Linked DNA regions of Kluyveromyces lactis. The protein of the gene in region 2 purifies or fractionates together with the protein of the main gene of each other region. This does not show direct contact. Links are inferred from orthologs where the notes say so. Each region holds a gene or a part of one and is shown on either strand. Other genes may lie near its edges. The genes, in order: EAF3, EPL1, ACT1 and TRA1.

The links.
Region 1: the proteins of EPL1 (region 2) and EAF3 purify together in Saccharomyces cerevisiae (affinity purification with western blotting; 14 studies listed by BioGRID, with this or other methods). This does not show direct contact. The link is inferred for Kluyveromyces lactis from reciprocal best matches to the Saccharomyces cerevisiae genes EPL1 and EAF3.
Region 3: the proteins of EPL1 (region 2) and ACT1 purify together in Saccharomyces cerevisiae (affinity purification with mass spectrometry; 10 studies listed by BioGRID, with this or other methods). This does not show direct contact. The link is inferred for Kluyveromyces lactis from reciprocal best matches to the Saccharomyces cerevisiae genes EPL1 and ACT1.
Region 4: the proteins of EPL1 (region 2) and TRA1 purify together in Saccharomyces cerevisiae (affinity purification with mass spectrometry; 15 studies listed by BioGRID, with this or other methods). This does not show direct contact. The link is inferred for Kluyveromyces lactis from reciprocal best matches to the Saccharomyces cerevisiae genes EPL1 and TRA1.

Annotation. Positions count from the first base shown.
Region 1 is NC_006041.1:1,188,734-1,196,283, forward strand, and holds EAF3 (Eaf3p), read right to left. Parts: upstream 3,946-7,550; coding exon 2,869-3,945; downstream 1-2,868. Other genes in the region: SDD4 (Sdd4p), read right to left, coding at 1-1,794; KLLA0_E13487g (C2H2-type zinc finger protein), read right to left, coding at 1,882-2,574; casein kinase YCK3, read left to right, coding at 4,748-6,169; DSE1 (Dse1p), read right to left, coding at 6,711-7,550. UniProt on the Saccharomyces cerevisiae protein: Component of the NuA4 histone acetyltransferase complex which is involved in transcriptional activation of selected genes principally by acetylation of nucleosomal histone H4 and H2A. The NuA4 complex is also involved in DNA repair.
Region 2 is NC_006042.1:2,333,293-2,342,047, reverse strand, and holds EPL1 (Epl1p), read left to right. Parts: upstream 1-1,416; coding exon 1,417-3,837; downstream 3,838-8,755. Other genes in the region: BUD27 (prefoldin-like protein), read right to left, coding at 1-662; BST1 (Bst1p), read left to right, coding at 4,167-7,094; alpha-factor pheromone receptor STE2, read right to left, coding at 7,250-8,560.
Region 3 is NC_006040.1:456,872-465,038, reverse strand, and holds ACT1 (actin), read right to left. Parts: upstream 3,314-8,167; coding exon 3,304-3,313; intron 2,524-3,303; coding exon 1,406-2,523; downstream 1-1,405. Other genes in the region: KLLA0_D05379g (uncharacterized protein), read left to right, coding at 1-839; SND2 (Snd2p), read left to right, coding at 4,068-4,613; Rab family GTPase YPT1, read right to left, coding at 4,929-5,543; PER33 (Per33p), read right to left, coding at 6,301-7,167. UniProt on the Saccharomyces cerevisiae protein: Actins are highly conserved proteins that are involved in various types of cell motility and are ubiquitously expressed in all eukaryotic cells.
Region 4 is NC_006042.1:2,050,321-2,058,359, forward strand, and holds the end of TRA1 (histone acetyltransferase TRA1), read right to left. Parts: coding exon 713-8,039; downstream 1-712. UniProt on the Saccharomyces cerevisiae protein: Essential scaffold subunit of the transcription coactivator SAGA complex. SAGA acts as a general cofactor required for essentially all RNA polymerase II transcription.

The DNA.
Region 1 (7,550 bases), on a different chromosome or scaffold from region 2:
GGTGTTTGGTCTAGTGATACAATAGTCGAGATTCACGTCACATGACATATCTTCTCCGTTGTGGAACATCTCGAATAAGAACATATAAGCATAAATAATGGCCATTCCACCTTGCATCGGGTCTTGACTGAATTTTAGGATTCTTTCGCTCACCAATGCATATTCTTCAGTGCCAGCACGAACGTTCATTCTCCAAGGTGCGCCTACATATATGTAATAGTCGTATTGGAATATTCTTAGTATAATTTGGGTCATGTGGTAGGCTGGAATCTTACACGAGCGAACGTCATCTAGCCTCAACAGTTTGATTCCTTCGTCGTCCACCGCATCTATGTGGGACAGGACTGAGTTTGATGAATTGTTACAACCGTGCATGACTTCTTGATGCCAGTAATCGATGGCGAATGAAATGATCTCCTGCCAATGTATATTTTGTACGCTTAATGGGTTGTCGGCACCAAGTGAAATCACTTCCGAATGTTGTTGCAATTGGAACATGATAGATATCAACCCAGATAGTAGCAATTTATTGCCAAATTTGCTCGTTTTCAACTTGGTCCAACTGTTTGTGTTATTCGATCTTTGCAACTGATGCATCACATGGTTCAAAAGCTCTTTCAACGCGTCAAGGAAGCTTATATCCTTGCTTCCAAATCCATGTTGCAATAATTTGTCGAGCGATAAATCGTAGCTGTCCCAAATCTCGTCCGAACATGGCAACGAAATCCTCACTTGATTACAGTGAATAAATAGGTATGTGTATCCGAACACAACTGCGTGAGTTGTGTCAATGTAAAAGGCGTATAATGCTGTTCTTTTCAAAGTCTCAAAATCGATCCAATTTTTGTATATCACTTCCATTGATTCGTAATTCGATGGTGATTGTTCCTTCTTGACACGTAACGGATGCCCTCCCAAGGAAGGAGTTCTACGAAGTAATTGAATTGTGGTACCATGATGCAAATAACTTCTTTCATGCAAATATCTATTTGTACTGGTCTTTTCATAACACTCAAGCAATAAAAGTGACTGAATAATATAAGTCTCCGATGGTGGTTGGAAATCTTCATGCGAAAATATCAACCAACGTAATGGTCCTGCAATAACATCACTTATCGTACGACGAGTGGCAGATCCCAGATAGGAAGCACCGGTCATAATCATACTAAGAATAAGAATTGGAGGCTCTTTCTCAATGTCAAATGACGGTTTATGCAAAATTGGATATTGTGGATGGAAATTCAACCAGTATGACTTCAATGCAGTTTGTAATTTGTTTAACATAATATATTTCACGTCCGCGATTAGCAGTGCTAATGTACCTTGTCTTTCCAACGATAGTTTGAACTTCGAGTTAGGGTCTATATTGAAAAATGACGGCCTGGATATCAGCTTAGACCTCTGCTTTTTTGATAGTCTGTGAGAATCCGATTCAACGGTAGAAACTGTTGCTGACCGTTTCAGTTGCGATTTTAACTCTCCGACTTTCGACTTCTGTGCCAGTAAATTGTCCTTAATGTTCTCCTTTCCAACATCTTTAAATTTTGGAGATCTATTTGGAACCGAGTCGATGGATGAAGTAACAGAGCCTGCATTAGATGGGGTAGCGACACTTTCTCCCGATTGTTGAGGGATGATATCATTGTAAGACATCTGCTGCACCAAGGTTTGTAACGGATCTGTTGGTAAGAAATCCACCGAGAATAAATCATCCACGATATTTGTTAATCCTGGATTGGTATTGAGGCCTGTGTTAAGTTCAGGATCATAACTCTGTTGTTGAGGCGGAACCATGTGTGCTTTTTGGTCCAAGGGAATATTATCAATATGCTGCTGCTGACGTTGGTACTGTGGCTGAACGTGGGATTGTGACAGAGGCGGTCACAAAATTGATGGATCTTCCAACTTCGCAGTTGGTGGCACTGCATCAGATGGCTGATCCAACCTACTATTCTGTTGAGGCGTAGCATCCTGAGTTACACCACCGGCGAACAACCAGTTGAAGAAACTGTTCAAGTTACCGTTTGATGCTGGCCCCATTGCGTTAAACCCAGCATTCAGACTAGTATTACTACTACTTGTCGTACTACTGCTATTGGGCAAAGAGTTACTGTCATGGCCAACCGCATGTCCGCTACCCGAGCTCGCCTTATTGTGCTTTTTATCCCCCACATCAAGTACGATATGATCCACCTTTTTCTGCTGTTGTGGCTGCTGTCCAACACCAGCGACACTCGCCGTATCCGGCAGCTGCGGTGCCGCTGCTTTAGACCCACCCGCCGCTCTTTCTTTGCCAGATTCTCTTCTCACCTTCATCTGCATTCGAACACCGTTATTCGTGTGACGTCTCTGATGTCTCACCAACAAATCCTTCCGAACGAAAGTCCGGTTGCAAACTATCCCATCGTCAGGATAAACATATTCACACCGAAATATCTGCTTCGGCCAGTGGTTAAGCTTATGCCTCTGTAAATGCTCATACCGTGAGAAGGTCTTCTCACAATCTGGATGAGGACAAACGTATCTGCCGCCTACTTTTTCCTCCGACGCTTCCTTACTCTCAGAACCCATCATTTTCTACCACCGTCTGCTGTACAGCGTAAATATATCAATAGATACTGAAGTACACTGCTTACTCCGAGGCTCCGACAGCTGATGATTTAAGGATAACGAACAGTATATTTATGATGTCTTGTGATTGTTATGCTATGATGAGTACGGTCGAATCGAAACTGTTTTTCAGATGTTGATCGCTTATAATCACGGCCCGGAAATAATATTTCTGGGGTCCCCGAAAAAAGGGTTTTGGGGGATATATATATATATAACGGTGTATGTGGTGGGGTCTGGAGATGTGGTAGAGATATATTACATGCTTAGTGCGACCCCCTCGTATTGGGAGGACGTGTTTATGTAGGGATCTACTGGGAAGTTTTTCCTCGCGATGTTTATGGCGATCCATTCGAGTAAAATGTCGCACTGTTTCACTAGGATCTTGGCAGTTTGGTCATCGACGTTGCTTGATTCCATCATTTCGGGGAGTAAAGTGACTAGTCTTAGTAGATGGATAATTCCGTAAATTTCAGTGTACTGTTTCTCCGAGTGTGCTTTCAGTAGTTCTGCATATTGGATTCTTTCTAGACGGTACAAGAGTAATTTCCCCAGGGATAAGTTGAAGTAGAGTTTTATTCCCTGCAGAAATTCTGAGAGTTGAGCTTGTTCTACCACTGAGGAGGTCGAATTGCTAGTATCTGCATAGAACTGGGACAAGATATGTTCGATTGGCCGTTCGCTGGGTAGTTGTACTAGCTTTCTGTCTTTTGTGACGTTTTCCCAGTCGTCTACAAGCACAGAACGAAGCGAGATAGGGACTTTTATGTGTATCTTAGGGTGTGATCTTTTGTTTAGTACTGGGGTTGCCTTCTTACGGTCGGATTTGTCAGAGCTGGAAGCTGCTGCTGTTGTACCAGAAGATGAAGATGAGGCTGGATTAGAAGCGGAAGTCGAACTTGCCGAAGTATTAGTACCACTGCCACTATTTGAGGTACGGCTGGCCGCCTTTTTGCCCTTCTCAACCTTACTAGGCCTGCCAACAGGCCGTGATCCTGATTTCTTCTTCCCACCATTGTTCTTCAACTCTCGAGCCTTTTCCACCAACGACTTCTTCAATTCCAAATTCTCATCGTTATACGGTCTGATTCGGTCTAAACCAACCCATTCGTCCCAACTCGACTTCCAGCCCTGGTAATGCACAAAATAGCATTGGCCCTGTCTCATATGTTCCGGCGGACGATCAAATTCTACTTTTTCATCGTCAATACTCACGTCTTTGTAGTCCTTTGATGTAATAGTCTGATTCTTTTCATCGTAAACTCGTAATACTTTGGCTTCATAGAGCAAAGGTCCGTGATAACACAAACATTTCCCATCTAGAACAATTGCCATGATCAACAGCTACTGAAAGTTCCCCTGGGACAATTAAATTTTGGAGAAAGACCAGCGTAGCAGGTTCAAATACTATGTGTAACTTCTGTTTCGTGAAAGTGCTAGATGGTAGCTTTAACGTAAGATTTGGCATTTGAATTTTACGTGAAGAAACATGGGAAAACGGACAGTATAGAAACAGTAGATAACACTAGGTGAGCACTTGATAGTAATGGTATATAAACCGCAGCTACTTGGAAGGAATGCAGTACTTTCCAAGAAGAAGGAAGTGGGAAATTCTGATCACGTGACAACTCACGTGATATGATATGACATTGGAAGTGACCTGATATCTCCAAGTATTGCCTCAAAGCACTAGAGTCAAACTAGTATCAATTCATAAAGTCTTGGCCACCCTTCAACACCAATTCCAGCACCACAACGCCACTAATCACGTCGCATATCCACCTCTTACCATCACACAAGGTCTGCAAAGCTCTCCTAATAATGCTGTTCTGACCTTTAATGCCAAAGTAAAGAAAAAAAAAAGTTGATGAAACAAAAACAAATTTGAAAGAAACAGCCTTTTATCACAGTGACCAAAGAAGCAAACCACAACGGTTCTGACTGGCAAGGACGATCTTTTACACGCGGACAAACATCTGTATTGGTATTCTGAGTCGATGAGACGTTATTTGAGTGGTGGCTACTGAACTATTTTATTCGAAGCAAGAGAGAAAGGAAAGGTTTCCCACATTTCCTAGTATTGTATTTTTTTGTTTCCCGATAGGACTTGATAAAACCCAGAGTCGGTGCTTTTGCAATGTCTAAACGTTCGTCCCAGCATGTGGTAGGAATTCACTATGCTGTTGGTCCTAAGATTGGGGAAGGTTCGTTTGGAATAATCTTTGAAGGTGAAAACATTCTAAATGGTGGGTCGAAGAACCCTGTTGCTATAAAGTTTGAACCCAGACGGTCTGACTCACCACAGTTACGGGATGAGTTTCGCGCATATAGGATATTGAATGATGTGAGAGGAATTCCTCATGCGTATTATTTCAGTCAAGAGGGGATTCATAACATTTTGATCATCGATTTGTTGGGTCCGTCGTTAGAAGATTTATTTGAATGGTGTAGTCGAAAATTTTCCGTAAAGACGACAGCAATGTTGGCGAAACAGATGATTGATAGAGTACGTTCTATTCACGAGCATGATTTGATATATCGGGACATTAAGCCGGATAACTTTTTGATATCTGAGTTTCAACGGGAGTTATCGGATGGGTCAGTGGTTAAGTCGTGTGCCACAAGCAGTGGTGGTGACGCAAACCTAATATACGTGGTTGATTTCGGAATGGCAAAGCAGTTTAGGGACCCAAACACAAAACAACATATACCATATAGAGAGCGTAAATCTTTGAGCGGGACTGCGCGGTACATGTCGATAAACACCCATTTCGGTAGAGAGCAATCGAGAAGAGATGACTTGGAGTCCCTTGGCCACGTATTCTTCTATTTCTTACGTGGGTCCTTACCATGGCAAGGTTTGAAAGCTCTTAACAACAAGGCTAAGTATGAAAAGATTGGACTCACGAAACAGAGGTTAAAACCAACGGATTTATTGACACCGGAGATACCAAAACAGTTTGCTGAATATCTATCGTACTGTAGATCGTTAAGGTTCGATCAGGACCCAGATTATGATTATTTGATCTCCTTGATGACGCAAATCATGCAAGAAAATGGGTACGAAGAAGATGGTCATTACGATTGGATGGATTTGAACGGCGGTCAAGGTTGGAACATTAAGGTCAACAAAAGAGTTAATTTGCATGGGTATGGTAATCCAACACCAAGAAATACAAAACATTCTGCTCAACAGCTTACACCATTGCATCAACAGCAGGCACAACAGCAGGCACCGGGGCAAGTACAGGGACAAAATCATCAACAACAGAATAGTAGGCACGATTCACGTAACTATAGGTCTTTCTCACAAAGCACACCAAATAAGTCTCAAAAGAAAAATGTTAATAGCAGTATGGGGAACAGTAGGGTGAGATTGTCACAGGGCAATGGATTTGTGGGACCAAACGTACCATTGAAACAGAACCTCAATATACAATCGTACGATTCAATGGGTAAGCTTCATGGCAGACGCATTCCGAATAACGAAGAGTATGACGATAATGATTCCATTGAAGAAGGCGGATTTTTTTCAAAATTGTGCTGTGGAATTTGCTAGCCCATTTTTTAGGCCCATGACGAGAAGATGTATTATAAGTTAATTTAACCCTCCTTACCTATTTGTTGTCCTGTTGTAAGAGCTGAAAAGGCGTTGATCGTCTGGGTTCTCCAATAACAGGCACACACGGATACATTTAACGCTGAGCGTTTTGCTTTTATAATTTTTTTTCCAAGGCAAGAAGGAACCTTTCATATCTTTGTGTCTCTCCCATTCCCATGATCTTTCTCGCTCGGTTCGCATTTATTAGACAAACTTACACCCTTGCTTTAGCTGAGGAGAACTGACAAATTACATGAACATCCAGATATGTAAATAGAAATACATATTCATAATATTTTACTTTACTTTAATATAAATTGTAATTTAGTTTCAAGGAACTTAAATAACGAATTAAGCACTTGAAGAGTATATTTAATCATTGAATTATTTATTAGCTGATAGTAAGTTAAATTTGAAGTGAATGCAATGCAATATAATTTCCACATGGGTAACAGGTTTCAATGAATTGCAGAAGGTGATTGAGGGAGGTGAACGGGTATCATAAGCCTTCGCATACAAATGTGGCATCGCTGCCTCTTCTAATGCCAGACAGAAGAGGGATTGTGGGTATATCGAATGAATGGGTTTTACCGTCAAACATGCTATCTAGTGCAGGCGTCATTGGAGAATGGGCTTCGTATTCCAGAGTATCCTCAGAATCTTCAAACGCAGAATTGCTACTATCCTTGGTTGTTTCATCTGAACTGGAGTAGACCATAGTAGCTGGAGGTTCTGATTTCGTTTCGGTCGACACGGATTCGAGTAGACGTAATGGGTTCCTTGGTGGAGGTAAAACCATTGGCATGTCAACAACCGAGTACGATCTTAGCTCTTGATCTTGCAAGGATATGAAATGAGAGTCTGCTAAGCCGACGAAATGACTCCCTAGATGTTTCTTGTTTCCGATTCTTTCCAGATCTGGAGATTGAATAATGTTACCGTTTTGCACACAGTCCGCTGGTAATCCAAAGCTCTGGATACCATGAGATGGTCTGCAACACATTACTTGGTCGGTGAATTTCAAATCTTTGATATCCCAGGACATTATTAAGCCTTGATCGTCTGTACTATATATTTTCTTCATTTCATTATCGTAATCGAGACTGTTGACATGTCCGTTATGACCCAACAGGTGTGCTCTAACCTTCCCATATCTGATATCCCATATCTTCAATGCCTTTCCGACCGAATTAACGACCGTATATTCATCTAACCATTTGGAAGTATAACATTTGCCAGACTCGGCATTGCTGTCCTGAGGTCCAGGGACACGTATTCCGTTACCATCACCCAAACGAAGATCCAACAATGCAATTCCGGACTGCCCAAATTTCGTTCC
Region 2 (8,755 bases):
TCTCCTGTCTTATTGCCAGTTTCCGAAGTTCCTGAAGCGGAAGAGCGATCATCATTCTGAATATTGAAGGCAGTCTCTGGTGAAAGACAATTTTGACGTTCCTGACTCAGTGACAATTGTTGTTCATCACTATGGACTTCATTACCTTTGCCCGAATGCACCTTATTGGCGGGCGTCATTGAAGCATGTATCACATTTCCGTCTTCGTCTAATTCTTCTCTGATCTCAAAGAAACCTTCCTGGTCATCATCATTGTTAGAAACATTCGTATCTCCCAAAGATTTTGCACCGTCTCGAAGTAACTCCATGTTTCGCAATGTGCCATGTGCCTCTTTCAGTTTCTCATCAAATTGTGAAATGGCTTCGGCAATTAAGTTCAATCGAACCTTTATAAAAACCAGGCATTCTTCCCTAGATTTCTCCAAATAGTAATCGTAACCTATATTTTGGAAAAACTTACCATTCTGAAATACTACCTCACCATACTGCCATTCTTCTTCCGAATCTTCGCTCGTGTCAGCATCTCTTATCCTATCGAATATCTGTTCATACAACGGCTGCTGTTCCTTTAAGAAGGTTCTTTTGTTTACCAAATTATCTATGGTACCTTTGACAGTATCCATTAACTCGGCAAAAGAAGCCCCACCTTCTGCTGTTTCCATTGCGTTTCACGACTAAGACTGATTTTCTCAGCCTCTTTACCTGCCTCAGATAACTCACTCTTTCAACAAGCGATGAGATGACTTCATTACGGATGTCAAGTTACTGATTTCCGTTTTTTTTTCTTTTTGGTAGAAGCTCATACAATTTTTGGCATCACCATTTACCTTGACCCAATGGAAGTCACGTGAACAGAAATTCCTATTGTCTACCAAGGTGGTTATGGGAGACGTTCATATTTCCGTAGAAGACGTAAAAAATTTTTTTTTCTTTCCATAAGTTCGGATTTCAATATAGAAAAAACCAATACCCCCATTCACCGGACAAACTGTTGCGTTCCACCCAAACAACCAACATAAAAAGGAAAACCACGCGCTTCAGAACAGTCCGGTGGCTCGTTCAAACCTACTGAGAATCAACCATCAGTAGTGATACTTAAGGACTTTCATCAGTTCTGCAAAATCCGTACCAATAGCTGCTATCTTCAGTCCTATTTTAGATTTGGTCTCCTTGTTTTCTGCCTCCTTCACCGCCACCCGATTGCTTGCCAGTGAAGTTTTTCGCAAAATTTGGCCCCGAAAACAGGAAGAAAATAAATTTGGGCCCCCGTAAAAGAACCAATTTTTTAGAGGGATAATTGTAGTTACCCTTCCTTTCATATTTCTCGCTATTGAAATCTGGAATTCAAAGATCCTTCTTTGGCTTCAGCCGCATAGCTATCAGGGTAACTACACACGGGCATTGACACATTGCAGTATGCCAGCTCCTGCAGTGGATTCATCGAGGTTCAGGCACAGAAAGATCAGCGTGAAGCAACGACTTCGGATCTATAAGAGCCATGAAATTAAGGATTTGGAACAAGAAGATGTTTCGGCCATCAGTTCCCAGCATCAACAGCGAGAGCTGATGGAGATTGAAACTGGTGTGGAGAAGAATGAAGAAAAGGAAGAGCATTTATACAAAATTCTTCAATCCAATCAGCTTCGAGAGAACAAGAAGGATCTATTTATTCCAACACCAGACGCCTCGAAAACTTGGGACGAGTTTGACAGATTTTACCAAGGTGAATTCAAATGTCCTACGAGTTATATCCAGTTTTCTGCACAATTAGAAGATTGCTGTGGTACTTTGTATAATATGGATGAAGAAGACGAAATCTTTTTGGCAGATTTAAATAAATCCCTGGCGGATTCGGTCGAACCTCTAACGGAAGATGAGTTTGAATTAATTATGGCCAACTTTGAGTCTTCCATCAAAGATAGGCAACCCTTCCTGTCCATGGATCCCGAGAGTATACTTTCATTTGCAGACCTAAAACCAACCATGTTGAAAAACGATGTTGGTGATTCTGGCGTAAAAAAGGAACTCGCGAAGGAAATTGGGATGCCTGAAGATGAACCATTCTTGACAATGTTTGACAATAAAAGACCTCTAGGTAAAAGGGAAAAAAATATGGAGACTCTTATCGAATTGTTCGGAGAGAAAATACACGATCATTGGAAGCAACGCAAGATATCACGTCATGGTTGCGATATCTTCCCACAATTGAAATCGGAGCGTAATAATGATAAAGACGATAATGATCCATATGTGTGTTTCCGTAGGAGAGAGCTTCGACAACCTAGGAAAACAAGGCGGATAGATGTTCAGAACTCACAAAAATTGCGACTTCTATGCCAACAATTGGAATATACTAAAGATTTGGCACTCACTGTAGCCAAAAGAGAAAGAGCAGTATTAGAAGTCCTAGAAAACGAAAAGTTCGTCTTCCAAGCGCGAGCCCAATTGAAGACAATGAAGAGAAAGTTAGGCATAGATGCCGATAACGAGGATTTGTACTCGGCAAAGAAACAAAAACTCGTGAGTTCGGTGCGTACAATCAAACAACAACAACAACTTCTTCTTCAAAAACAGCTACAGATACAACAGCAGCAACAACAGCAACTACAACAGCAGCAGGCAGCCATTACTTCAGATTCATCTGTTAAACGTGCAAAATCTTCAAAATCGTCGAAACTTCACAAAGAAGACAGTGGTCTATATGCTGATGAGAAAGGAAGCGAGCCAAAGAAGAAAGGCCCAAAAACTGGTTCAAATAAAAACAAAGAACAATCACTGTCATCTGCGCAGGAAATTGGAGCTCAGTCGCCTGTTGCCAATGTCTCGAATGTACAACAACAGCAAAAACAGGCATCTTCTCAAGTATATGTTAAATTGCCTAACTCTAAGATACCTGATATCGTGTTAGAAGATGTCGGTAAATTGTTGCATTCAAAGGAAAAAAGCACAAGGAAATTTGTTGAAGACAGGATGAGAAAAAGGAAACAGGAAGATGGTGACATCTTTTTCAACCTCACTGATGATCCTTACAATCCTGTTTTCAACCTTTCAATACCAGATAACGTCAGCCCCCAAGATGCTCCATTTTCTTCTGTTGCTGGCTCAAAGTTCGAAGTAAAAACATCCTACTATTCACCTAATCTTCAAAATTATATCACTGGCACTGCGAATGATATAAAGGTTTTTAACAAGGAAGGTGAAGCTGTGGAGAACAATGAGTATAAAAAGTTAGAATTTTTCAATCCATTTGATAACGAGATTCATACTCATTCTCGTGAATTTCCAATCGCTTTCAGACGCCGTCGCGGTCGTTTCAATATGGAATATATTGACCAAAGAAAAACTGATCACAATATTAACGACATGTTATTACAATTTATTGATTTGGATGGAATACAGAAGCAAGAACTCGATAATGATGTTATAAATGTGTATGATTCTAAACTGGATGATTTATCCAGGTCATATTATCACTGGAAATATGATTCCAATTACAACATTTACGGGTCCAAGTTTTCCGACGAACCGGCGAAGTTGAACCAAATTTCAAACGATACTCAGGTGGTAAGATTTGGAACCATGTTAGGATCCAAAGCATACGAGCAACTAAGAGATGCCACCATCAAATATAGACAGGAACAAATCAACAAAAGAAAGAAACTGAATTCCCTGCAACAACAGCAAATGCTACAAAAGGGTCAACAGCCCATTAACAATGCTCCTCATTCACAGTCCTCTTCCCCACCATCTCATCAGGACACTAGGAAGAATCCAGGATCAACTCCAAATCAGTCCAGTCCGCCAAAGAAACACGTTACTCCTAACGCTGCTGCATAACGAAATTGTAAACTTTTGATGACACCAAATCCCATTATAAATATGAACTTGTAATTAGTATTTTCCGCATTCTTATGCGAATCTGTAACAATATAGATAATTCATGTTATTAAGCATCGTGAGCTGCATTATACATCACGTGACTGAACTGACTTCAGCTTCTTTTTTTTTTGGTTTACGCATCTAAAATCGGCATCTTGCATCTAACATTATGTACCATTGCAAGCATTGATTGATGAACTATGCCCAGAATAGTGCATTCACTAGGAACACTAAATTTAGAATAATACCTAGGATACTGGTAGTGGTTTACCAAGCCAGTTGTTAAAATGGTCCAAATTGACTTACCGGCTGAGTCTGCTGTTCGCATCAGGTATCCTACATTGACGAAGAAACTAAGGAAAAGAAGCACGCTTGTAATCATAGTGGGCTTGCTTCTGCTATGCATTATTACCTCCACTCATATATCTCATAATTTCAGCGGATCAGATACACCTAAATGCAGATCAATCTATATGTACCCTTCGTACGCCAGAATTGATGGATTTGATTCAAGACACACTAAACTCGCCAAAAAATACCACCTCTACCTATACAGAGAACAAGGTAAAGATAAAGAGCCGAAACATGGTGATGAAATACAGCTTGATGGTATACCTGTCCTTTTTATTCCCGGCAATGCAGGAAGTTTCAAACAAGCTAGATCTATAGCTGCGGCAAGTGCCAATTTATACTTTGACCATAAATCAACTATTCAAAATTCCAATGCAAAGAACATGGATTATTTCACAGCCGATTTCAATGAGGATTTCACTGCCTTTCATGGGCAAACAATGCTGGATCAGGCTGTATACTTGAACGATGCAGTACGATATATCTTGTCAATGTATGCTCAAAGCGCTGCCTATAAGGAATCCAACCGCCCACTACCTAAATCTGTCATTTTATTGGGGCATTCCATGGGAGGAATAGTGGCAAGATTAATGCTTACACTACCGAATCACATACCAGAGTCTGTAAATACCATCCTGACGTTGTCGTCCCCTCATTCAACAGCCCCCGTCACTTTTGATGGTGATATTCTAAAACTTTATGACAGGGTAAACTCATACTGGACCTCAGCCATGAATGATATGGGCAGTTATTTTCGAAACAATGTTTCTGTGATCTCCATAACAGGTGGTATTTTGGATGACATATTGCCTGCCGATTATACAAATCTCCAAGGTATTGTTCCTGAATCAAATGGCTTCACTACATTCACTACTACAATACCGGAGCTATGGACCCCAATTGACCATTTGGCAATAGTGTGGTGTGATCAGTTGAGATATCTTTTGGCAAAATATATTCTCGAAATTGTCAATGATGATGCAGGAGGAAAAACCGCGACTTTAGATATTAGAATGCGCAAAGGAAGAAAGTTTTTCTTGAGTGGACTTGAAAGAATTACTGATGCAGATAAATTGATCGATAAAAACTTAAGCGCCCCAGCCGTAGATTTCAGCGACACAGAAAGTGTCCCTGAGAATCATTTACTTGTCTTAAACTCTTCTGAATCAATGTCCACAGGATATGCCTTCAATATTTCTAAGTCTGTCGACTATAGCTTCGAAATGCTCACATCACTCGTCCAATTCGATATTTTCTTTTGTAAAGACATATATGGAAAGGATTGTATTAACGGATTTTCAAGCTTTTCCAAAGTTCCTCACTCCACAAGTCTACAAAAATTCCCAACTGACTCGTCATGGGGAGAATCGGTGTCTCCTTTTCGCTTTATCTCATTAAATGGCTCTCTATTGCAGGGTTTCCAAATAATAGTTTTCCAGGGCTCAATGAAAAAGAAGGAAGACTTTGTTCTAGCAAAGTATAGCGATGATAAGAGCATTGAAACTGCAAGCGACGGATTGTGGAAACTATCTTTATTCCCTTTTAGAATGTCCTTAAAAAATAAACATTCTTTTGTCCATGGCCTAGCATTCCCAAATTTATGGTCCTCGCTAATCTCCTTCAATTTGAAAACAACTTTCTCTGACGAAATAGATAGCATGTTCAGACCGATGATGAGACAGTATGTTAATAATCCATATGAAACCAAATGGCATTTATTGGCTGCCTCAAGTTCTCATGAAATCAATATGCACAATATATCTCCCTTCATACCACTTGATGATACCATAGACAAGTCATTAAATTTGATGTTCTTCATCCCACCTGGAGAGGAAATTTCTTTAAGACTATCCATAAACTGGAAACTAACATTGAAGATGCTTTATATCAGATTCAGATTAGCTTTTGCATCAATTCCAATATCGATAATTGCTTTAGTCTTATGCTACCAGTTTTACTACTATGACAGCCCTGATAGTAAATTCATCAGCTTTGATACTGGTTTGATGAATGTTTTGAATAATCATAGTCTATTAATATTCCTCTTTTTATCAGTAGGACCGATAGCAATCAATCATAAGGCCATATTGACCTTGCTGCATTACTTAGACCCTATTTCTTTGAGCAAACCAAGTAGCGATTCTCATATGTTGAACAATAACTATATGCTGGGTCTACGTGAAACATTTGTGTGGTGGATTGGACCAGTCTTTTTCATAATCTCTGTCGCATTATTATTCATTATTTTGAGACTCATAAATGTCATCGAATTTGCAGTTATTAAAATTTCCTCAGCAATCACAAGATATACGCGTATCACATTTCCTGATCCTCTTAACGATATGACACATCATAAACTACTTTTTAATAACAGGCAATTACTGGGAGTATGTTTTATTTCTTTGGGAGTCATGGTCTATGTCCCATATCAGTTCGCATTCATCCTTGTAAGCTTAATTCAAATGTGGAACTGCATGAAGCTGGCAGTCTTTACAAACAGGAACAACGCAAAATATTCCAATATACACAACTATAACGTGTCATTCTTAATGCTAACAATATTCATGATACCAATCAATGCTCCAATAGTTGTCGTCTTCTTGCGTAATTTTGCGATTAGGTGGGAGACGGCCTTCAGATCGCATCATAATTTCTTAGCCATAGCACCAACATTGCTTCTAACATTAAGAAATAGTCAGTGCAATATTCCTATAATCAAGAACAGAATGAACTGGCTGATCGTTGTCTCAATTCTAGGATATTTATCCTTTTATTCTTTCATGTACGGCATAAGAAATTTATACTGGGTCTACCACATTTCCAATATCCTTAATGGGGTCTTATTCTTCCTAACAATATTATGAAACTAATCGATAAAGAGTAATTCTAAAGTATAATTAAATGAAATTAAAGAACCAGCAGATACTATGAGCTGCTATATGTATACCTTACTAAAATATATGATTGGTATGATAGAGCTCAACAGAACGTAAAAAACTAGAAACCAGAGACACAGTGTTTATCTTAATTCTTTGAATACGGTTTTCGATTGCATTAAACCGTCATCTTTGTTTTCATGAATTGCATTCACCCAAAATGCCCTTGCCTCTTCATCAGCATCTGTTTCTGAGGTATAGATGTTGGAAGCTTTCAATTGTTTAATCACTGTTGCATCTGTTGATCCTGGAGAAGAAACAAAATCGGACCTTTTTGCTCTATCCATAAAAGATTCGCCAGACTCTAAATCCATCTCCAACTGTGTAGATAGTTCAAGTTCCTTTGAACTACAACCATCCGAAGTTTGTGGTGAGTTACTGAAAGAGTATTTGTCACTAAAGGCTTTACCATAAGAGTAGGATGATGAATCATCACGATTTTGTGCAGAGTAAGGGTTGAATTGGCGATAGAAAGTACTGGCACTTGGTGCATCATTTGCAGCAGCAGCCCAGATAGATGTCAAAGGTAGGGAAAGAACTACAAGCAATGTAGCAATAGAAGTCAACGACTTAACTCCTTTATTGTTCAGCGCGTAGGCGAGAATATACAAAACCGATGGACCTATTAATGTCTGAGTAGACATGATGAGTAGAATGTGAAATGAGTCAAATTGTTTCAAACCTAAATGTCTCCTAGCTCTGAAAGCCAGGAAAAGTTTCACTGATAGAAGAAGAGTGATGAAATTTATTGAACATGCAAGTAAAATAACTGCTATGTTGTAATAATATGTGTCAACTTTGTTCAATGGACTATCATACACTACAATAATAGATTTTATTGCAGTAATCATCCACATGGCTACAGTTGCAGCACCAAAACTAGCGGAGACGCCAGTCAAAATGATTCCTATCTTCCTATATCTATCTGCTTTGAAAATGACTCTTACCTGAAAGACTAACGAGACCTCAATACACGCAACCAATAGACATTGAATTAGAGTCACGGCACCGTAAAGATGTTTGTCACGGTCGCCTATCATCTGTGGGAACAAAGTTAGAGCAAAGGGAACTCCTCCAAAATTGCTCAACAAATATGATAGATATAAAGCAGATTGAACAATTGTAAGAACCAAAGAACTCTGATTTATTATGAATATCGGCGTCTTTCTATTCTTAGAGACCATCCACATTATAATCAACGCTAATCCAGCAGCGCCGATCCTTGTTCCAAAAATAATTGCTTGGGTGATGTTTTCATGGACAAGATTTTGTAGCTGTTGAAATGTTATTTCAGTCCCATCTCCGTAAATTGAACTGTATGTTAGGACGGACTGCAATGGATTATATGTCTCATTGTAGAACAATGGGTTCAAACTGGGTATCTCTTCTGACATGTTAAATAAGTTAATGCTTATTGTCAAAACATTAAGGGTACTTTGACGTAAAAATTTGAAGGATGTCAAATCAACATTGAGTCTCTCAATCTCACCTTGTATCACAGAGAGGTGCCTTTATATAGTCACTTTTGAAGTATGTTCTCTTGACATGAATAAGTTTCATGAAGGAATGAAAAAAAAAAAACCTCAATA
Region 3 (8,167 bases), on a different chromosome or scaffold from region 2:
TTGAGAAACTCAGAGAGAAGTTCGTTAGTGAAACGAAGCAAAAGCCAAAGCTTTCCTATATTATCAAGAAAGGTTACTGGAAACACATGAGTCTCGGTATAATAGTCCAGATATTAATTCAAATCAGTGGTATTAATGTTGTGATGTATTACACTATTTACATATGTGAAATGGTTGGCTTTGATGATGATGTCAGCTCGAAATTAACCGCAGGACCTTATATTGTCAATACGATATTTACCTTAGTCCCTGTCTTTTTATTAGACAAGTTTAATCGCAAAGTATTCATCGGGTGGGCAAGTGTATTTTTAGGTGGTATCATGCTATTGATAGGATTCCTAATTGGTGAAAGGGAAAGGCACGTCGGCGATGTTGTTTTGAGAAATATAGTTGTCGCCTTATGTTTCCTCTTTGTTTCGGTATTCTCTTCATCATTGTCATGCGCTGGCTTTATCTATACTAACGAAATCTTACCAGAATCCATAAAATCCGTGGCCTTATCAGTTTGTATATCGACAAGTTGGTTTACAGGGTTTGCCCTTGCATTAATGGCACCTTATTTAATGCAAATCGTAGAATGGTGGACCTTCGTAATGTTGGGAACATCAACAATAGCCTTAGCTTTCATTATAATTATGTGGTTTCCTGAGACGAGAGATTTGTCACCACACGATATTGACAATCTATTCAAACAAGACGCGCTGTCAGCAGAAGTTGAATATGAAAAGATAGAGTCGGATCAAAGTGCAGATTTTGAAAGTATTCCCGAGAGGTCTGGTGCGCCAGAACCTGACTCATTTGTGTGTACCACTACTACCACTGAAGTGACGGAACGTTGAATTATTAGTTTAGTCTTGTTTATCTATTGTACATATTAAATAATTTACTATTTCATAAACTAAGAATAACTTTCAACACTAAAAATCTTTGTTCTGGAACATATGATGATTTTAAATCCTTTTCAAATTATCAGATGATCAACTTAAGCAATTAGCCTCGCACGAATATTCAATAATTGCCGTATATAACTTTCAATTGGAGTTGTTTAATTTTAATGTTGAATTTGAATTTCGTTCGTATATAATCTCGGCTTATTAACTTATTAACTTTCATACTAAACTACCCACTTCATTTATATGAAGTAGAATATTCCAACAACATAAGATAGAAGATTGGAACTTGAATAATGACTGTGCGATCGAAGATAAATAAAAACAACACACAAAACAAAATTATAAAAACAAAGAAGATTTGGAGTAAAATCGTCCCTATATGAAGTTTTAATAATTGTTAGTTTTTTGTTTCATAAGCTTCAATTTTTGGGTTCATCTATATGAATCGATTCATCGTTTATTTTAATTGTATTCTTTTTATAAGAGTGTCAAGTAAAAAAAAGTGAAGGAGATTAGAAACACTTCAAGTGAACGATGGATGGACCAGATTCGTCGTATTCTTGCTTTGAGATCCACATTTGTTGGAAAGTGGTCAAAGAGGCCAAAATAGAACCACCGATCCAGACAGAGTACTTTCTTTCTGGAGGAGCGATGATCTTGACCTTCATAGAAGAAGGAGCCAAGGCGGTAATTTCCTTTTGCATTCTTTCAGCAATACCTGGGAACATGGTGGTACCACCGGACATGACGATGTTACCGTACAATTCCTTTCTGACATCAACATCACACTTCATGATGGAGTTGTAAGTAGTTTGGTCGATACCAGCAGCTTCCAAACTTAGAACAGATGGATGGAACAAAGCTTCTGGAGCTCTGAATCTTTCGTTACCGATAGTGATAACTTGGCCATCTGGTAATTCGTAAGACTTTTCAACAGCGGATGATTGAGAAGCAGTTTGCATTTCTTGTTCGAAGTCCAAAGCGACGTAACATAGCTTTTCCTTGATGTCACGGACGATTTCTCTTTCAGCGGTAGTAGAGAAAGAGTAACCACGTTCAGCCAAGATCTTCATCAAGTAGTCGGTGATATCTCTACCAGCCAAGTCGATTCTCAAGATAGCGTGAGGCAAGGAGAAACCGGCGTAGATTGGAACAACGTGGGTAACACCGTCACCAGAATCCAACACAATACCAGTGGTTCTACCAGAAGAGTACAAGGACAAAACAGCTTGGATAGAGACGTAGAAGGCTGGAACGTTGAAAGTTTCGAACAAGATTTGAGTCATCTTTTCTCTGTTGTTCTTTGGGTTCATTGGAGCTTCGGTTAACAAAACTGGGTGTTCTTCTGGAGCAACTCTCAATTCGTTGTAGAAGGTGTGATGCCAGATCTTTTCCATATCATCCCAGTTGGTAACGATACCGTGTTCAATTGGGTAACGTAGAGTCAAGATACCTCTCTTGGATTGAGCTTCGTCACCAACGTAAGAGTCTTTTTGACCCATACCGACCATGATACCTTGGTGTCTTGGTCTACCGACGATGGATGGGAAGACGGCTCTTGGAGCGTCGTCACCGGCGAAACCGGCTTTACACATACCAGAACCGTTGTCAATAACTAAAGCAGCGACCTCTGTTTAGAATAAAAAACCATCACGAGTAGCAGAATGCAGATTAAGGAACTAAACCGTACGTTTGGGTAGGTTAGGTGTTCCAAAAAAGTGAATTCAGCCATCCCAAATAGAAAAATAATTGTTAGTAACATAAGATAAGAAAACAAAAGTAACAGGTGCATTTTGGGTGATCATGAGGTTATGTGATTGTTCAACGCTAAAAGTCCTGTCGCGGACAAAATAGGGGCTAACCTTAGCAACCAGAAAAATAAATCAAAAAAAAAATAGGGACAACCGAACCACGAGGGGCAATGCCTGCACCACTTAAAGGTGTACTTTGATTCCTTCTTGGACTGGAAGGAATAACATTGTAATATAAAATCACATCATCACGTGACATCAAATTATCTTTTTTTGCCTATATTTTCCAAATTTCTTTCCAATTCGCCTCCTAAATCAGGTAAAAAAAACCCAAAATCCAAAGTTAGTCACCCAAAACCCAAGAAAAACACGTTATAGTAAGAAGGTAGAACCAGGAAATGAAAGATCCAATTCTCGAACAAAGCTTCTAATCCAAACCCCTATATATAAAAAAAACCCATTCAATTAGCGTTGTACATCTAATTCTAAATCTGATTTAGGGAGTTAGAGAATGGACAATGGCAGCGCAAAGCGCTGCCATTATCCTATCTTTTCCCTCCCAACATTTAACCGGAAACCTAACAAAGTAATAAAACATATCCAAACTTTTTAACCACCCAATTAACCCACCGTAATCAAATATACGTTTCCACACATACCAGAATCCATATTGTTATACTATAGCGCGTGAAGATGTTGTACAATTCCTTTTGCAATCAACAAAAAAACCGTTATTCTGAAACAACCTTTCTTCTCTTTGGATCGTAAAAGACAGTAAAGAAGGAGGAAACAAATCAAGATATTTCTTATTTTTCTTGTAAATTAAATCAAATTTCAAACTCTCTCATACAATAAATCGCACTAGCTGTCCAGAGAAACAGAAGAGAAAATTTCGAAAAAACAAATTAAAAAAAAAAAAAGAATTCTGATGAAAAATAGGAGACGATTGTCATTGTCCACGAGGCGGAGCAGTTGCGGTAATGGTTTTCTAGTGGTTACGTGGGATTCACTGTACAGCTGGAGGGGCGGACTTGCAATTGAAGGCTTTGTGAAGGCTGGAAGTTTGATATAACGTTGGTAGGCTGTCGGTAGAATAGTTATATCGTAGTATATTGTATTCATGAGGCAGTTATCGATCTCTGGATGTTAGTACATCTGGTTTATTTTACAATTCATTATGACCGCATATCGTCTTAATCCTCCGTATATTAATGTGTATATTCAAAATCACGTGACATATATGTACGTTACCCGGATTATAATGACTCGGCAGTTGAAATCTATACGTGAATATATGTTACGTGGATCATCATCAACTATCATTGAAGCAACGGGAAGGTATTAATAGATCAGGTTAATATTCGACAGTACATTTATGTACATCTATCTCTATCTCTGAAGAATCTCACCCACCCATTGTAGAATGGCTGGAAAATCGTCCAAGAAGATTGCTGCAAAGAACGCAGCCATCTTAAAGCAGTTGCACGTACTAGTCGTCGCTATACTATCTTTAACGTTATTGAGGAAATGGTTCAGTAATGGGCTGATTTCAACCCTAAAACCTATTCTTTTCAATGTGCCGATGTTGTTATGTTTATATATTCTCGAACGTACCGGTAGACCAAAATATGAAGTCAGTAACGCTGCGCATGGAAAATATAAACTAGTTAATGAAGGGTTCGATTTGGAATCTGGTGGACTCACTGAATACATGAAAGATATCGTGTATGTTTCCTTGTTCTGTAACCTGGGAACAGTTTTCTTCAACACGATGAAATGGTGGTTCTTGGTATTAGTGTGCCCTGCGTTTATTTTCTACAAGTTGTACTACTTGAAGCAACAGTATTTCCCCGGTGCCTCAGCTTCAAAGGCGGATCTCGCAGAGACAACGCCCGCTGAACCTTCCAAATCAAAGAGACAATTGAAGAGGGAAAAACGTGGTGATAAATCTCAGGTAAGATACCGATAGATTAATGTTAGAGAAGGGGTTGTATATACTATATCCATCATATATCTACGAATACATTCTCTTATATATAGAGAAAGTAAGAAAGAAAGGAATAATGATTGTAATTGAAATTAAGTCTAACTATAATAGGCTCTAAATAGACAACCACCGGCTCTTTCGTTAAAGCTATGTGGGGCAAATGGTGCTTAATGTTGTTTGTGATGTATACGGGATATTAATTCTTCGAAATATGGTAATTATCAGACAGTTCTTAAATTCAGTTCCTGATTTTTCAGACACTTAGTGTATAGTAACATAGCGATGATGCTATCCAATTTAGCAACAACCACCATTGGATCCAGTCAATGATTGGCCCTTTAAGTTGACGTTGGACTTGTCTTCAGCTCTACCATTATCTTTTTGTTGTTTGGCGACACTTTCCTTGATTTGCTTGGTCATGATCAAGAAGGCCTCCTCAACGTTAGAAGAATCTAGTGCACTGGTTTCGATGAATGGAATTCCAATAGAATCTGCGAACTCTTTAGCAACTTCGGTGTCAACCACCTTCTTATCTGTCAAATCGTTCTTGTTACCAACTAGTAACTTCAACACACCAGCTGTACCGAAACGGTCGATTTCTTGCAACCATGTCTTGACGTTGTTGAAGGATTCTTGGTCTGTTACATCGTAAACGATAATTATACCGTGGGCACCACGGTAGTAAGAAGATGTAATAGTTCTGAATCTTTCCTGACCGGCAGTATCCCAAATTTGTAGCTTAACAGTTTTGCCATCTAACTCAACAGTCTTGATCTTGAAATCAACACCGATGGTGGATATATAGTCGTTGGTATAGGTATCATCGGCAAATCTTAACAATAAACAAGATTTACCAACACCGGAATCACCAATCAACAATAATTTGAACAAATAATCGTATTCGGTATTCATTTTTTCTTTGTTTGCTTGTAGTTTATAGCGACTGATACGATTCGACTGTTTGTTAAAAAATATGGGCTCCTTTTGTAAGTTGTGATTGGATGGACTGCGTTGTAAGTTTACAATATTTCTCTATTTTAAACACACCTTTCTGTATCCCTCGTTGTTAATATCTCTCCGTTAAAGAAAATGAGTAAAGGAAGTATAAGATAAAATATGATAACAACCCCAAAATAAAAGTCTATCCTTTAGTTAAGCTTTCAGTAAATATGCAACAGTAACCAGAAAAAAAGCAAGCGTCTTATCAAACCGCATTTGGAATAACTGAAACTATGCTATTGTTGCTTAATAGAATGTATTTCGGTCCAGGTTTCACTGTTTGAATTTTGTTCTCCTGAACGGAAAAGATTCCACAAAAGATTACCATCACGTGACACAGAAATACACAGTGTTGTTGATATAGATCAGTAATGAACCTGTTACACTACACTGAACTATTTCGGACAAGTAATGAAATGGATGAAGACATTACAAAGTTCAGGTAACTGATAGGAATGATTCGTAGTAATCTTTAGGGGAGATGTGAAACTCTACAAAATCTCACAGGATGTAAGATGCGAATGCAAGAATCTTTGCTTGGATGAGTTTTTTCTAAGTTAAGATACATATATATGTATGCATGTGTATATCTAGATGCTCTACTGACTAACTTGCAGGAAGACTCTATGAATGAACTTAAGTTTCGAGTTTCTAACTGGTTCTAGCGTTTTCAAGCAAGGATTCTATCAAAGAAGACTTTAGCCAAATGTTTAATGCCTAACCATTTGTCCATGAACATAGGCAAACGAGTTGAGATGAAGTTTTCAATCATCATTTGGTTCTGGTTACATAGCAACCTCATTTGTTCACTTTGATTGTATCTTAACTTAAAGAATATAGCGTATGCCCAGATTGATAGAAGTGTGAATAAACTCTTGGCATTGAATGTGATAAGCACAGAGATTAACTGTATGGGCAGCATGAGACACACTTTGCACATCGTTACAAGTTCTGACATCACTGCAGCATGGAAGAAAGACCCGTTGAAATTGGTGATGAAATACGAGATTTTATTTGACAATGAACCTTTTAACATGGGGTTCATTGGAATGAATGGCAATACATTCTCTTTGAAATAATTCAATGCATGGAACAAAGAGTATATAACCATAGATGATTCAGTTTGAGTTAAAGTTTTCCCTCCTGATAGAGAACATATCAAAAGAACAATGGAAAGTGTAAAATATTGTAGGTTATCCAACTGTCTGATCTGCTGTTTTAAATTCGACCACTGGAATCTTAACTGTTTTGATTTCACATATTGGTGAAGCACAATCCCATAACTGATCACTGTGTATAGCATGATCTTCCTGTAATTTGTCTTTACACTTTGTTCTCGGAATGAGAGCATATATTGGATATAATAGTATAAGCATAACGTGTGACCAAGGAACCAATAGAACTGAGGCTGTTTCAACTTCGTACGGAACACAGCACTCAGAGGGGCTACAGGTCTCTGAGCAGGCCTGTTGCCTCCATTTTGACCGGCAGCATTGGAATAACGATTACCACTGCCATTGCCACTTCCCTCAGACATCTTCTTGAAAAGAAAACCTTTAAAATGAAACCTTAGTAACTAACTCACGAAAGTTCTTTTGGAGACGAGATAATCAACTGCTATTGAGCCGCTAAGTTAAGAGTTCACAATCAACGATGACAAAAACACCTTGAAAAGCTAAATATGTAAACAGCTTTCGTCTTCAATACACAATCAGTTAATCAATTGATAGCCAAAAATATAAGAAAAAAAAAAAAAAAAGAGACCTGCTAACCTGATCCGATTCGATTCGGTTCGAAATAGAATACCGTAGCTTAATCAAAGTAACCTTCCGATTACTATATACATAAAAATGTAGCACTGGACAGATCAATTCCAACTAGTCAAACCCTCTTTCGCTTCTCCAACTAATAGGTTTCCTTCTCTTAACAAACTGTACTGGACGTTTTTTCCCTCTTTAAATTTCCTAATCCTGAAATCCGTTTCTCTTTAAATTTTCACATCGTCTTTAAATGTCAGCTAGAATCGAAAGTTAGGGAAAATTGCAGTATTCCAGTTTCCGTATGATTCTATCATATACGGAAAGTCAGCTGTGAAGAAAATGATCCGAGAAAATAGTCTGTTCAGTCTTTGGACTCATGGAACACTTCGACAACTATTCTAAATCTTAGGGGAATGTGTTGCTCACTTGCAACCTCAACTCTTGTCTTTAGATGAACTGACACTACGCAGGAATTCACACATCACAGTCACGTGCAAATCACGCGATGTAAGTTTCCGTTTCCCGTATTACCCGCACACTTAGCAACCCACAAAGGGAAATAGACGTGCTCGAAAATTGCCTAAAGAAGTGAAACAAAGATCAAAATACAAACAAAGATATGAGGAAAGAGAAGGAGGAAAAAAATAAACAAATAAAAACAAATAAATAAACAATTTAAAGTGGTTAAATAAGTGAACACAGACGTGATTGTGAACAGGCTTGCACGGGTTAGAGATAACTTTATAGATAACAGCTGTGAGAACTCGTCTATTTCGA
Region 4 (8,039 bases), about 290 kb from region 2:
ACAATGTCGATTAATATCTGTATGTTATTGCATGTCAACTTATGTGGGCGTTATGGCATTTGTGTTTTCGTTTCCGACCACGGTTTTGAAAAATGGGTCACCGGTTCTTGTTTGGCTGAGTGGGTATAGTCTAATTGTTTGTCTATTCTCTCATTATTTGGTTAAACGCATTTGGTACACAAGACCCAAATTTTACAGCTTGGCAGTGATAGCAGTGGTGGGTGTTTCAACTTTCTTTTTATCAATGATTTGCACTTGGAATTTTTTATATTACAGTGGAGGGTATGTTCATGGTATCAAATTTTGGCTATCTCAAGGATCCGCCACAGTTGATGTGACAGAAAGAATGGCACTCACAAGTACTGCTGGTTTTGTTACATCCATATTTGAGCTTTTTTGCATAGTTTTAATTTATCTTTTGTACCAAAGGCTGAATCTAGATTGGGCAAAAGCCGTCATGTGGCTCAAGAAGGAGTCCCCTGAAAAACCTCCTCTTAGTACCCAGTTAACAGAAAAATATGGCCATTATAACGATCATAACAAGGGTATATTGGAAGGAAATCTTGACTAAAAATGCAATTAACTTGTGAAAACCTGTAGAGTAATGATTGAATCATGTTAGTAATATCGATACATTATTTTTACATTTTTTTTTAACTAGTATACAAATTTAATTTTACATCGGATATAATATCATCATGAACTGTTCATCTCATAACCATGCCATGAAACTTTGATCACACTTCGCCAAATTTCTAGGACTCACAGCAGCACTGATAGCATCTAACACATACTGAGTTGCTACACTTGGAGAAGAACTCATATGTCCAAATTGGGCCACCTTTCTTATAATCAAGTCAACGTTCGTCAGAACAATGGCATATAAGTGAGGATCTTCAACAATAGAACGGTTCATGCTACTGTACCATGAAATAACTTCATCACGGATGAATAGAGATAGATAGGTGTTCAATTCATGATCTGGCTCCAGCAATGCCCTGGCAATTACAAATAATCCAACAGAGAATACACCTTCCATCGCGGAATCACCGATAAGCTTTTGGATATTTGGTGTCATTCTAAATGGAACAGGTTCATTATTATGGAAAACAGGAGCGGAGTTTGGCAAGTTAGTCTCAAATTGTTTTGCATATTGATTCACTCTTTCATAAGAATAACGAGATGGTAACATTTCTAAAGTATGAACATTACCTGATTTCTCATCGACAAATATCTTATGTGGAGATCTATTATTAATGGATAGCATAAAGGTCATGAACACGAACGCCGCATACTGGGAAGCAAACTGTTTACGGAATAACCAAAAATCTTCGAACTCTGAGAATAATTTGGAATAGTAGTCTTTCAATAAAGTCGATGGAATGAACAACGAATGAATTGAACTGAAAATTTCAACTTTCACTGCGGTTATGTCGGGAGGGGGCAATACTTTGTCATGTGCAACGTTAAGTTGTTCAGTGATAAAGTCTTGAATAGCGTCCCTATCCATGTTCTTCTTGGCACAGAATTCGTCATAAATTTGATGCAATGTTCTGAAAGACGCACTGTCACTCATAACACGTACTTGAGGAGATAGTGGAACAGCGATTGGTACAGTGAATTGAATATCACGACGTCTAGTCTGAACATTTTTACGCAATCTCTCATTCAATAGTCTGTATAATTGGAACATTCTTTCCTCTCGCCTAGAATGACGCACGGCTGGATATTGTACTGCGAATGAATGTAAAGAACCATCGTGCCCCCTTATCGTTAATCTTCGGTGGGATGTATGAGTGCCGCGTGTGAAGTCGACTTCTGGCATAAACCTGCCGATTTTGACAAAATGTGTGTTATTGTCTTTGTTCAATAGATATTGTCCCGGAACTTTTATATCTTCAAACTTCTGATGGTGGAAATTGCTCAAGTTTGGACAAATTGCCTCCATACTCTCTACCTTTGGAGCTCTATCAAGTTTATTCTCAAGTCTGTTACGCCAGAAACGTAGTCTCTTGATGTAAACTTCGAAGTCTGGTTTACTCTCAATAAAATCAGCGTTAAATTTAACACGAATGTTTGGTGGTAACAAATTCTCTGAGAATCTGATCAAATTAGCCTCCGTGCTTGAGGGTAAAGGAGGCTTCTCTCTTGGATAAGGCAATCTGTTGTAGTTGTATGTACCATCAATCAATAGAACATTAATCAACCGGAATAAATCCTCATCTGGATTAGTTTTGAACTTTTGGTTGATTTGGTCGACAAGTGATTCTAATGACAGAGCGAGTAATGGATATGCTGTCTTCAAAATACCATTCAATTCTTCGAGATATTCCCAGGGTTGTCGATTGTTAGGATACATATCTTGATCTTGGGATTTGTTTTGTGAAGTTGTTCTTGAATTGTCTGGAGATGGATGCTTGGAGTTCTCTTGATTCTCTGTTTCCGCAGGTTCTCCCTGAGTTCTTGCCAAAGCTAAGCTCTGTCTCTGTATTACAGCGAAATCTTCTTTTGTTGTCCTTAACTGGAAGTGTAATGCTTGAGGATAACTTTTAGCAATACGGATCAATATTTTGCGGACTAAAAAGGCCTCTTTATGAGAAAGAGCAGTTAACAGTTGAGGAATGAATGTAATCCAATACCAAACAGGTATCTCACCACGGAATGAGTCAAATGCGTAAGCTAGTGAGTTAGAAGAGTCGTCTCTCCCTAGTAGCCACAAAATTCTAGAAAGTAACTTTCTTGTTTTTGAATTCTTATACAAGCCAGCAGCTTGGAGGTAACAGCTCATAGCATTACTAGCAAAACTGATGTTCTTTGGCTCTTCAGAGAGTCTGCGATCATTAAAGAAACCCCATTGAGCCCATGCTTTTGCGAGATTCAAATCAATCTGAACAGCAGTTGCGAAGGCTTGATTGGCTTCATCATGGGCACGAAGCTTGGAGAGGAACATTCCTTTCAATGTGAAAAACTCAGCCTTTTGAACAGTTCCAAAGTAGACTAAATTAGTGTTGCTAATAACATCGAGACCAGTTGTTAGTTCATTCATATTTTGATAATGACATTTAGCTTGTTCACGAAGTTTGAGGAAGGCTTCTTGAATTTCTATGTTTGGCAAAGTGTAAATTCTGGCCAACTGACTGATACAAACATCAGGCATGTTGTGTCTTCGAGCTACATGAGCAAAGCGATTTATCACCCACGCAATTTCATGGTAACCTCGGTAAGCATGTGTGTTAATATTACTATTGCTGTTAGCTTGCTGTAGTGCTGGTACCAATGGCAGATACGCACTATTGATAACATTGAAAACGTGTTGTCTCCAGGTGACCAAATCGTCCCAAATAGTAATATCATCCCAAATATTAGGTAGTCTGTCTCTCCAAGCCTGTAAAACACGTTTAATTTCTTGTGCTTTTGTGTCTAGATTTTGCACCGTAGTGCTGGCTAAATTAGCATATATTTGAGTGGCTTCTAAGAACTCCATGTACTGTTGGAATGAATGCAATAATGCCTTATGTGCTGGGGTGTAGCGTTTTGGTAAGGAGTGCCATTTTTTTAAGCTTAGTTGAATACCTTCATCGCAGAGACGTCTGACTTCTTGATCTCCCTTTTTGGTTTCCCCAAACTGCTGTAAAGCTAGGAACGTTTCGAATATCTGCCTTCTTGGAGTTGGTACATCCATAACACTCTTTACAGAATGCTCTAACGCTTCACGGTCGGCATTCCATTCTGCAACTCTCCATCCACATTCTAACAATAAATCTGTGAATCCTTCGTGTTTTGCTAACTCGGTGAGGATATCCCAGTGCTGCAATTTACTGGCACAAAGGATCCAGTTATCTTCCCATAGTTCATATTCTGACTCAGAATAGGGCAAAAAGCCGCCTCTGGCCTTGACTTGAGCAGCTTCATACATTTGCTGTGCTTTATCCCATAAACCGATTTGTTCATACGATAAAGCTATGCTAGATTCTGTGTACTTTGCCTTTCTTCTCCATAATCCATAGAACATATCGTCTTCTTGTATACTCGAGTATAACTCAAGCAAAGCATCTTCGTTTGTATCTAGAATTTTACTATTATCGATATTGGATGTTTCTTGAATCTGTTCAAGTAAGTCGATTGATTGATACCATGCATTGAACGTAATTCCCAAATATCTTACTAGATGAGGTGGAAGTTCTAACGATTCAATTTTGCTTACCGATTCTAACATTGTACTTATGACATTAACATGTATTGACGCCTGTTTGGTATGATAATCTTTAGATAGAAGAGCGACCAATGATCTTACAAAGCCGTACTTTTCATTCCTCGGTATCGATTTATAAGCAACAGGGAACACATTTACCCAGGTTGCGCGAACGGCTTCTGGACTCTGATAGAATATATCAACTAATGGGTTAATTATGTCACAGCATTTAATAGAGTTTATTTTGTCAATGAACGATTGATGCTCTCTAATCAAAGACTCCAAAGCGGAATTAGTGATAACCTTATCTTCGTCTTCAACAATAATATTACGTTCAATAGCGCTTAGTGGAGATAGTGGGAAGTGCTCAGTGAGTTTAATTCTATGTTCCATGACACATGCTCCGAAAAGTAACTGGCAAGCTTGACTTAACCACATATAATCGGCCACAAATTCCCAGTTTTGATCTCTAACAACGTAATAAAGCCTTTCTTTTATGTCATTATCCAAACTGCCATTTAAGATGTTCATTAATTTCGACCTTAATTTTATATCAGAAATGCGGGTTCCAACCAAAAATGGTTGTTCCATTCTCACGGTAATTTCACTGTTGTTGTATTTTTTATTCTCAAACAACTGCAATATTATTTCATAAAACTGCTTAGAAAGGTGAGGTTCTCCACGAATTTCAAATGCAAGCATCTTTGTCAATATTGCCGCCTTTTCTTTAACAGTAGGGAATATTTCATTGGTGAAAACCCAATTTTTAGCGATGAGAACAATCTTCTGCAAGAAATTCTGATCCATAGAACGATCGATTAACAAAGCGACTGTAGACAAAAACGGCCTTCTGGAATCCCCAAGGGTAGATACTTTGAAAGAAAGTATATAGAAAACTTTCTTCAAAAGTTTCGTGGTTATACGAGCATCTTCGACAGCGGTGGCGTCTTTTGGCTGGGAGATGGTTAAATGATCCTTACAGAGTTTGTTGAAAGTTTTCATCAATAAGGGCAATAAAACATCGATCTGTGAGGGAATATTAACAAAGAGTGTCCAGCACAAAATTACACCTGCGGCAACAGAAGTTGTTCCATTCAAATTCTCAGATATGATGGAACTAACCAGGTTCACAAACACTTTACTATCCGTATCTTCTTCACTCTCAAACGGAACATCATCGTCTTTGACAGCTGTTAATACAGTGCTTAATACCTTTTGTAAAGCTTCTTGCAAGTCATGGTGGTTGGCGTGAAGACATTTATCCAAAAGGGTTTGGATTGTTTTTAGATTATTGATGATCCATTTGGGGTCTTTTGTTCTAAAAATGATATCCAATACATCTAAAGCATTCATACAGTAATACAACAAGTTGGCTGATTCAAGATCTTGCTGGATCAAGAATTTTTCGAAATAGGACAATTTGACAACTGCCTCTGGCAGGTATCCGATGGATAGTAACTCAGTTAAAACAGATAATGCCTTTGATCCCAATGGCGTTTCACAGGCCCTATGGTTACTAACACAAATGAAACGAATCAAAAACGCCGCAAATGCTTCCCGTTGTGAAAGAGAGGTAGAAGAAGAGGTAACTATTCCTTCAGAACCGTCCATATTGACATCGGGGTCATCCTTGCTTTGAGCCGAAAAGGTTTGTTTTTCCCAGTACATAACTAGATCACAAAGATCAATGGTTAGCGTCTGATTTTCGGTAGAAGGGTTGGTTAAAAGGGTTAATCTACCAATGTATGATATGATGTTTGGAATGAACATATCTTTGTAAGGGAAAAATATGTCCTTTTGACTTATTAAGAATTGATAGAGGATGGTATTTTGTTGGAAGTTACTTTCTAATATTACCCTTCTTACCCAATTAACCCACGTAGTTGGCTCTTCGGAACCCTTTGATCTATCTGCTACTACTGGTGCTAATAAGTCTAATGATTCCTTTACCATAAACCTTGCTTCAATTTGATGGACTCTGAGTATTGCAACAAAAACTTGGGTTACTATGTTGACTGGTAGATCGAATTTTGAGATGAACAATGACGTCGTTACATAAGCAGCCTGTTTCAACTGAATGTCTTCTAACTTTATGAATTTCCATGCAAACTTGATCAGATCCCTTTTTACCGGTTCAAGCAACGTAGGAGCGTATTTTAACAATATTGAAGTGAGCTGCAATAACTCAAATCGAATGGAATCAAGCTTTCCTATCACTGTATTTAACACAACAGAAGAACTTTTCGGATTCCATATATGCTGGTTAAGAAATGCGAAAATTTCGTTATCCGGACTTATCAATTCATCCACAGAGTTCTTAGTGGTGCTTTCATGAATCATAATGGAATTCACCACTCTTTTAATGACGAAGTTCCTAGCTTTTAGAGAACGTTCTTCTCGGAGAGAAAACTGCAAACATTCTAAAATATATTTTCTTTTTAACTGAACGTCGACACAGCTGATAATATCATCAAAGATAAAGCTATTCACTTCATTTGGGATTTTGAGATCATTATCATACGAATACTGGATCATTTCTAAGAAAAGAGGTACATCATATTTTTTCTGTTTCAAGTAGGCCAAATAAATCATTTGGAATTTTTCAATACTTTGATTCAATTGAAGTATATCAATATTAAATGAATTTTCATTGATAAGTTTTAGAACAGTTGTTAACATTGATTTTAACTCAAATAAGATATCTGAGTTCTCCAGTATCCAACTCTCTTCATTCGAAGTGTGGTAAACATATACCAAATCAATTGAGTTTGCAAAAAAGCTTACTACGCGAACAGGGTTCTCTGGGATTTTTTCGACGTAGAATTTCAAGAATTCCCTTAGCTGCGGTTCGAAAGCCTTTCTCAAAACAGGAGCTTCTTTCTTTTGTATTATAGAACACATAAGAAGTACTAATTGTCTTGATCTCATATTAGTTTTGAAGTAGGTCAGTACCTGCACGTGGAACCTATTGAGGTACTTTGCTAAAGGTACACGGAACGGAGAGTCTAGTTGTAACCTTAACTTACGTTCCAGAGAAATAAGCTTAAAGACTAACTCATTCAAAAAGATTCCCGCTTGAGGAGGAAGTAAGTGAAAAATGTTGAAAATACTGCAGATGATCTTAGTCGGCGTTTGCTGAGTGATTTCCTTTCCGAAAAGAGTATCCAAAACCTCGATTTGGCACCATGCATCTAAGTGATCGGATAACTTTTTACCGATTTCCACTTTGAAGTACGCGATAAGGAGCTCCAAGAGTTTTGCTAGTGCCTCCAACCCGGGTACGGTTAGTTTCTGATGGTCAGATAGATTCATCAACATTGGTTTCAACCCATTTTGCAATAGCTCCTTAGGTAATTTAGAATTTTCTGCTAAAACTATTTTCAGCCCCTCATACGTCGCTTCAATAATCTCTGGAGAAGGTTTTAACATGGTTTTGAAGAATACGGCTAGTACCTTTATTCTTATAGATCCATTCTGCGCGTTAGCGAATTCTGGGTTCAATAAGGCTTGTGCAAGTAACCTGATACACACAACTCTTAACTTGATTAACTGTTGGGATGTTTGGTATTCGGTAATTCGTTGGGTGCTGGCTAGTGATATGTCGTCGGCATCCACTAAGGCAATTGATTCGTGTAAAAGACGGAATAGCTCCTCATCGAATTTCAAAAAAGAGTTTTGAAGACGTAAACAATATATCACGGCGTCTACATTACCAATTTGCATCGAAAACGGTAATGCTCTCAAGGGTTTAGCAAAGATTGGGGAAAGTAGAAAGTTTTTGGCATGGTTCATTAAAGTAACCACCGGGATTTTGGTCAGCGTAGATATCTTTCCCAAACATTCCTGG